Linked DNA regions of Drosophila melanogaster. The protein of the gene in region 1 interacts with the protein of each later gene in a pairwise test. Each region holds a gene or a part of one and is shown in the gene's direction. Other genes may lie near its edges.

The links.
Region 2: the proteins of CheA87a (region 1) and danr interact in a two-hybrid assay, tested with the Drosophila melanogaster proteins (one large-scale study listed by BioGRID).

The regions. Positions count from the first base shown.
Region 1 is NT_033777.3:13,367,463-13,370,898, forward strand, and holds CheA87a (chemosensory protein A 87a), read left to right. Parts: upstream 1-2,185; 5' UTR 2,186-2,206; coding exon 2,207-2,437; intron 2,438-2,493; coding exon 2,494-2,814; 3' UTR 2,815-2,868; downstream 2,869-3,436. Other genes in the region: Dic1 (dicarboxylate carrier 1), read left to right, coding at 299-699, 790-1,231; Lip3 (lipase 3), read right to left, coding at 2,869-3,249, 3,327-3,436.
Region 2 is NT_033777.3:25,135,740-25,139,671, forward strand, and holds the start of danr (distal antenna-related), read left to right. Parts: upstream 1-2,332; 5' UTR 2,333-2,493; coding exon 2,494-3,753; 3' UTR 3,754-3,932. UniProt on the Drosophila melanogaster protein: Probable transcription factor with a role in the retinal determination (RD) network. Regulates ato expression and is required for normal R8 induction and differentiation.

The DNA.
Region 1 (3,436 bases):
GCCCCAGACAACAGTTATTAATATTTCCGACGAAAGCTTTCAAGCTAAGCTTTCGCGCAACCGCCCAGATGTTTTAACTGTGGGTCCTTCAATTCCGTCAGTTCCTTATAGACCCACCGGCATGACATAACACAGCCGACCCACTGAAAATGCCGCCCATCGCAAAAGAAACGACTTAGCCGCCCTATCTATCACATTTGCAATAGGTATAGGAAATCATATCAATTGGCATCCAAATAATATACATATGTATTTGTATCTTTTACCACCTTCTAGCTAAAGATAACTAACACGCAAAATGCCCCACCAAGAGAGAAAATCGATGTGGTTCTTTGGCGGATTGGCGAGCGTAGGTGCGGCCATGGTGACCCATCCGCTCGACCTCATCAAGGTCACGCTGCAGACGCAACAGGGTCACCTGTCGGTGGCCCAGTTGATCCCTAAACTCGCCCGCGAACAGGGAGTACTCGTCTTCTACAACGGCCTCTCCGCCTCAGTGTTGCGCCAATTGACATACTCCACTGCGAGATTCGGGGTGTATGAGGCCGGAAAGAAGTACGTCAATACGGACAGCTTTGGCGGCAAGGTGGCCCTGGCAGGTGCATCCGGTCTCGTCGGAGGAATCGTTGGAACTCCGGCTGACATGGTCAATGTGCGCATGCAGAACGACGTAAAACTACCGCCGCAACAACGACGCAAGTATGTGAAAATTATTTTAATCCTTTAAATAGTAGTTTGCAGGGTAAATCATTTTTGAGGCTTTAAACTTACTGATTTTTTGTATTTCAGCTACAATAATGCCTTCGATGGACTGGTTAGGGTCTACCGCCAGGAGGGATTCAAGCGACTCTTTTCTGGAGCCACCGCAGCGACTGCCCGTGGAATCCTGATGACGATTGGCCAAATTGCATTTTACGACCAGACGAAGATCTACCTGCTGGCCACGCCTTATTTCCAAGACAACCTGGTTACGCACTTCACCGCCTCCCTGGTGGCCGGAACGATAGCCACCACTCTCACCCAACCGTTGGATGTGCTGAAGACGCGGTCCATGAACGCGAAACCCGGCGAGTTCAATGGCCTGTGGGACATCGTGAAGCACACGGCGAAACTGGGTCCCCTCGGCTTCTTTAAGGGCTATGTGCCGGCATTTGTGCGTCTGGGTCCACACACGATCATCACCTTTGTGTTCCTGGAGCAATTGCGTCTCAAGTTTGGCACCTTGAATTAGCCGCGATGCCAATCGATACCTTAACTAGGCAATAATTCTCCTTGGCTGGCTGGCAGATTCCCTTGAGCAATGCAACATTCCAGCAGCAATTCGTTCACCGTGTAGAACATAACTTAGCTTTAGCCCGTTCCAGTTGTTAACCAAGATGCTTTTATGCTAGCAAAATATTTGTTGTTAAGCGTTCAATGCCCGCTATCCCGAAATATATACTTTTTAATAAAATACAGAAATGTATTCATTTACCGTGAATATTAATGCTTAAATAGTGTCGATTTTTTCGCAATTTGCTTGTTTAAAGTAAACATAATATCTTTCCACTGCGTATAACAATATGTATATTTGTACTGGATTTTGAACAAACTTTAAGCTAAGAGCAATTAAACAGAAGGTAGACCATTAAATATATTCTGTGCTAATTGGTGTGGGCATAGAAGGTAAAGGTTGACTCTATCGTACTCCATCGTCATTGTCGTGCTGTTACTAATTATAAATATTTTGTTAACAATGGCTAAGCATTTGTTTGTTGTTGCTTTATGTGTAAAATCGGCCATTCAATAAATAAATAAAAAAAAGGACAAACGGTTTCTACGAAATGTAAATAGTCTTTGTTTTTCTATAAACAAATAAATTAAAATTAATAATGTTATCCCAAGACGTAAGAAGGATTAAAATAAGGTGCTCAGAATTTAAAACAGCTCGATTTTTTTTTTAAATCAGTTAAAAGAAAATGAAGGGTAATAATTATTTCATAGGTGTACCGTCCTTAAAGTGAATTCAATCGTATATTTCGTGATGTTGGCAATTAAATATAACTGTGCAATAGCTTAATAAAACAAAGGGATCGCGTTTTGATATCAATGAACCATTTCTGGGAATAACCGAAACAAGTTCGTTTCCGGTACAAGCGATCATCTATCTAAATCCTTATATACCAATGACAACGAATGATCAGCCATCAGTCGTCAAAGTATCGTAATGGGCTCCTCTTTATGTCCCGTCTCTTATCTGGCGGTCTTGGCAATTATCGTCCTAACCAGTAATATTACAGTCCAGGCTAAAAGGACATTCAGGATCCAGAAATTAGAAAAGGTGACTGAGGATACCTCATATCTGCGCAGTCGTCTGCGTATCGCTGAGTCCGAGGAAAATGAGTTGAAAGTCAGCGGATATCTCGATCTGAATCAACGACTCGACAATGATTGGACGGTACGTAGTTTATAATATATAGTGGAGGAATTAATTATTTATTATTCCTTCAACAGGTTGTGCTTAAGGTTTCAAGATCCCCGGATAGCGATGGAGACTACGAGAAGGTTTTGACATTCGAAATGCAGCTTTGCGACTTTATGAAGAGCTACTACAAGGATATCTTTTACGAACGGATCAAGGAATACTCGAATGCCCCGCATCCCAGCAGCTGTCCTCTGCCCAAGGAACGCTATGTACTAGAGGACTATCCCTTCAATGTCAAGTTGCTCAAAAAGCTGATGAGTCCGGGCTTCTATCGCATAAAGTATACCCTCAAGAATGAAGAGACTAAAATATTATCGTACGTTCTGGATTTGGAGTTGGAGGAGAACTAATCAATCTCGAAATTTGCTAGCTCAAATGCTCCGTTTATTGCCTGAAAAATAAATCTATTCGTAGGATTGCATCTGCTTCAAGACCTCGTCGTAGACGTATTTTCTGGCCTCAGTGCCCCAAATGAAATCCAGATGGGCCCACTTCTCGAACGGCACCAGGTAGTCCAGCGCCATGTTGGGCAGTTCGTCTCTCAACTTGCGGACATCGCTCACATCGCACATCCAGTCATTGGCTCCGTAGTACAATAGAACCGGGGCCTTGGCATTCTTTAGCTTGTAATCCGGAGGGAAGTAGCTGCCGTACTCATAGGGATTACGGAGAGCGGTGTAGTCGAATTTACGGAACTTTCCAGAGTTATATTCCTGACAAAAGTGCAAGTTCTGGTTCACCGATGCGCCAGCCGGAGACGTGGCCTTGATGTGCTCAAGGAGTTCCTGACCAAATGGAGAGCAGCATTATAAGTTACATGGAAATATAATTTATAGGACCAAGTTCATTTCCAGATACTTACGTAGTCCAGCTGTTCGGTATCATAGCCTCCAATCAGGAAGATCTCGTTGGCGCACATGTCGGCATAAGGAGAAGTGGCCTGGCACATCTCTATGCCCAAATCCTGCTTGA
Region 2 (3,932 bases), about 12 Mb from region 1:
TTCCATAAATATACTCACAAGTAAATTTTTAGCAAACGGAATCTTCACACTCACAGTCACCTTCATAGCGTATTCCATTAACTTTAATTGTTTTCTAATTTTACAAAATGTCGGTGATCATTATTCGAATTTTAATGAATGGTACAATAAGTTACTTAAGACTTACACTAAGTTACAGAATATATCGCTGAAGGCACTGGCAAACGAAGATTCCATTATATCCACGCACCCATCAGATATTTTATTTGCCGCCAAAGAGTTAATATTATTTATTTATTATTAAATTGATTGCATTTATTCCCATTGATGCCCCCGAATAGTTATCTCTTTTTAGTTTAAAGTTAAGATAAGGCATGCAGTATATATTAAGATATATACTTATATGGGTATGTGCATTTGACGTATGCGTTCAGAATTAGTTTAATAAGCCTTCGACTGAAACAAATTATGTATATAATAACAATAAAGTGTATGTACAAAATGTAAGGGCTAACTGCCAACATAGGTTATGTATATATTTAAATTTGTATGTATGTATAAATTGAGACTTAAAATAAATACCGTTTCCTCATACTTATACTGCAAATACTTATAAATCTAATGCAATTTGATTTTTCCATTAAATGTGCACTTATTTTGACTTTATGTATCAGAAAGAGTATCTCAATGCGGTATGTCAACAAATTGTTAATTTTAATCGATAATTACGATTTGAGTACGCTTGCAATCGTTTATTTATTGTGTAGGTTTCATATTTAATTTAAAACAATCCATTCATTTTAAAATACAGTTTTGTGACAAATAAACTTGAATGAAAATTGTTTAATAATAAATAATGATATAGTTATAACATACAGCAAAACGGAAATTAATCAATACAAGTAGATGTAATCTAATAAATTATAGTTAATAGAAAATTTATTTAAATATGTGTAAATCAAACATAAATACTAAAGGCTACTTACTTTCTAAACTGTGTCTTTTAATAACACAATAAAAAAGTATTAAAAAAGGGATGTGTGATATTATTTAAGGAGAATATTGAACGGATTAGCATTTCTAAAATGATTATTTTAAAGTGTACTTAGCCAATTTTCGCAATTTATAATATGATTTGGTATATTTACCAGGCTGAAAGCTTTTAAAGCAGTTCTTCTTCTAGAATGCTGATAGTTTTCTCGAGATTGAAAGCTTTTGTTATTTTTTCTTTAGTGGACGGCGCAGACGCATTAATAGTTTAAACAATAATTAAACGACGAGATTCATTGAGACATTATAATCCATTTTAATAACAATAACAGTGTTTGACAGCATATACATAGTTCTTTGGATTAGGGGTAGAATCAAAGAATTACAATTAGAAAGGTGTTCCAACAAAGGTGTTATGTACATTACGTACGTTTTTAGTATACAGTCGCAATCAAAAAATTAGAAGTGATCCATAAATAATATATTTATATGAATTACATCGTTTTATGAAGGTTAAAACAATTTTGTGTGCGAATAATCATCAGCAAAGAACTATGCAAGTTCTCCATATAAGGTATGTGCTATTCTTTTATATTATTGTACTTCGTGAGCACTTATACATATAAATAAAAATATTTAAAAAAACGCAGTGAATTCAAAACTTGTGTTAATAAGTTTAGCCTGATCACCTTTTAGTCTATATATTTTCTATTATCTTCATAAGATAAGGGTGCAATGAAAATATTTACCACAAATAACGGACAAAGAGTACTCATGGAAATTAGTGCAAACACACAGATGGAGAGTGCAAATAATATAGAGTGGAATTGTGTTATTCTCGGTAGATTCGCAACCCAAAAGTGCAACCAGGTCCACGTCCGTATCAGATCCGCTCACGCACATGCGAATGCGAGAAGGTTGGCCAAATACACGCACACACACTTTCGCAGGAGGGAATGTTTATGGGAGGTAAATAACTGGTTTTTATATAAACACACGGGCACATACACACACACACACGCAGCCACGTGGAGGAGCCGATTTGGAAATGTGCATCCTGCATGCTGAATATCTAGATCCACAACACCACCACACACATACGCAGCCCGCGAAGAGGGACGCGAATGATGGTCAGGACATCAAACCCGTTAAGAGAGCCGAACAGAGCGAATTTCGTGAGCAGGACATGAGTAACAAGTTGTTGCACTGGTGGGTGGTGGGTGCGCGCGCGAGAGAGAGAGAGAGAGAAAGGTGAGAGTGGCGCTTTGCTCCGATTGGTCGAGAAAAAGCGAGAAAAACGTCATGCCGTTCTCTTCGCCGCAAAATCATCGGATCATCTCGGCGGTCGCCGTTCGCCTGTCGCCGTTCGCAGTTCGCAGCTCGCCTTTCGCGGAATCGGATTCACAATCACATCCTTCTGCGAGTTCGAGGAGTGCACACCGGTGGTCGCATCCGCAAAGTCCGCGCTTCGAAACCGCTATCGTAATCGCAATCGCTATCGCCAGCGCAACCAGAAATAGAACCATGGATATCTCCGCCTACCAGCACATGAACATCCGGATGAGCACGCGCGGCAAGCGTCCTCTGAGGAACCTCACGCCCAACGACAAGGTGCGTGCCATCCAGCGCATCCACAATGGTGAAACCAAGGCGAGTGTGTCGCGGGACATCGGAGTGCCGGAGTCCACGCTGCGTGGCTGGTGCAAGAACGAGCAGAAGCTGCGCTTCATGTGCCGCCAGCTGGGCCCCGATCACCTGGGTCTCGACACGCCACCGGAAAAGCGCGCCAAGTTCGAGCTGCAGCTCCAGCTGCCACCGAAGTTCGTGGCACTGCCTCCAAACTACGAGGAGCTGGGCTTCGGTGCACTGCCCTACAGTCCAGCCGATTACCCAGTGCAAAATGAATCCCTGCTGGAGAAGCTTAGCCTTGTGGAATTTGTAAAAAAGAACGGTGGATTGCATCCGGAGGGTGCACTGCATCCGGGTCAGGCCGGCGTGATGGACTACTCCAACAACATGCTGCACCAGCTGAATCTTCTGGCCCTGCTCAACTCCAAACTCACCCCACAGACTGCCGATGTCCTGGTAGATGCACAGCCGAAATCAGAGGACAACAAAGTGATTGATTCGCCCGCTGCTTCCGAGGATTACAGCAAAAACAATTACCCCTTGCTGAGTGTTAAGAACTGGGCCAAGGATCCGGCCAAGCGGGTGAACTCCGCCAATCAGCCGGAGCAAGTGAACGATAAGAACAACAATGCCCTGGAGGCCAACAGTTCCGCACCACAAGCTCTTGTCACGGAGCAGGCGAAGACTCCCATGTTCTCGGACACCACAATGCCCCTACTGCCAGCACCCTTCCCGAATCCTGCGGATCTAGCGCCTGTGATAGCACCAGTGACTCCGGCAAACGCCCCGCCCACTGGAACCGATAACCAGGGAGCGGCTCTGCTCGACTGGTGCAAGCTCTTCAATGCCAGTTTGAACTTCCTGGCCTTCGCTGCGGCCGCAGCCTCCATGCAGCCCGGCGGCGGAGGACCAGGTGGACCCAGCTACAATCCCAACCAAATGGCCAGCGGCGGATCGGAGCCGGATCTCGAAACATATCCTTTCAACGAGGCGCTACTAAAGCGACTGAGTCCACTGGCGCACAGTGAGGCCTCCAACGAAAGCTACTGCGACAGCGAGCCGGAGGATCTGTCCGTGCGCTCCTGCGCCTCCAAGGCGTCCAGCAGATCCCACACTCCCGACAAGAGCGTCGGGTCCAGCGACGCCGAACAGTAGACACCCTACATTATAGCATAGTTGTAGTTGTAGTTCATAGTGTAAATACATCCATTTTTATTGTTATTAGCCACCTTTAGTATTAATGAAACTCGAATCATTTCGCAATGCAAATGCCATTTGTACTTATCAATTAACGTATTAATATCACTGCAACAGGTATTAATAGCTCAGCATAC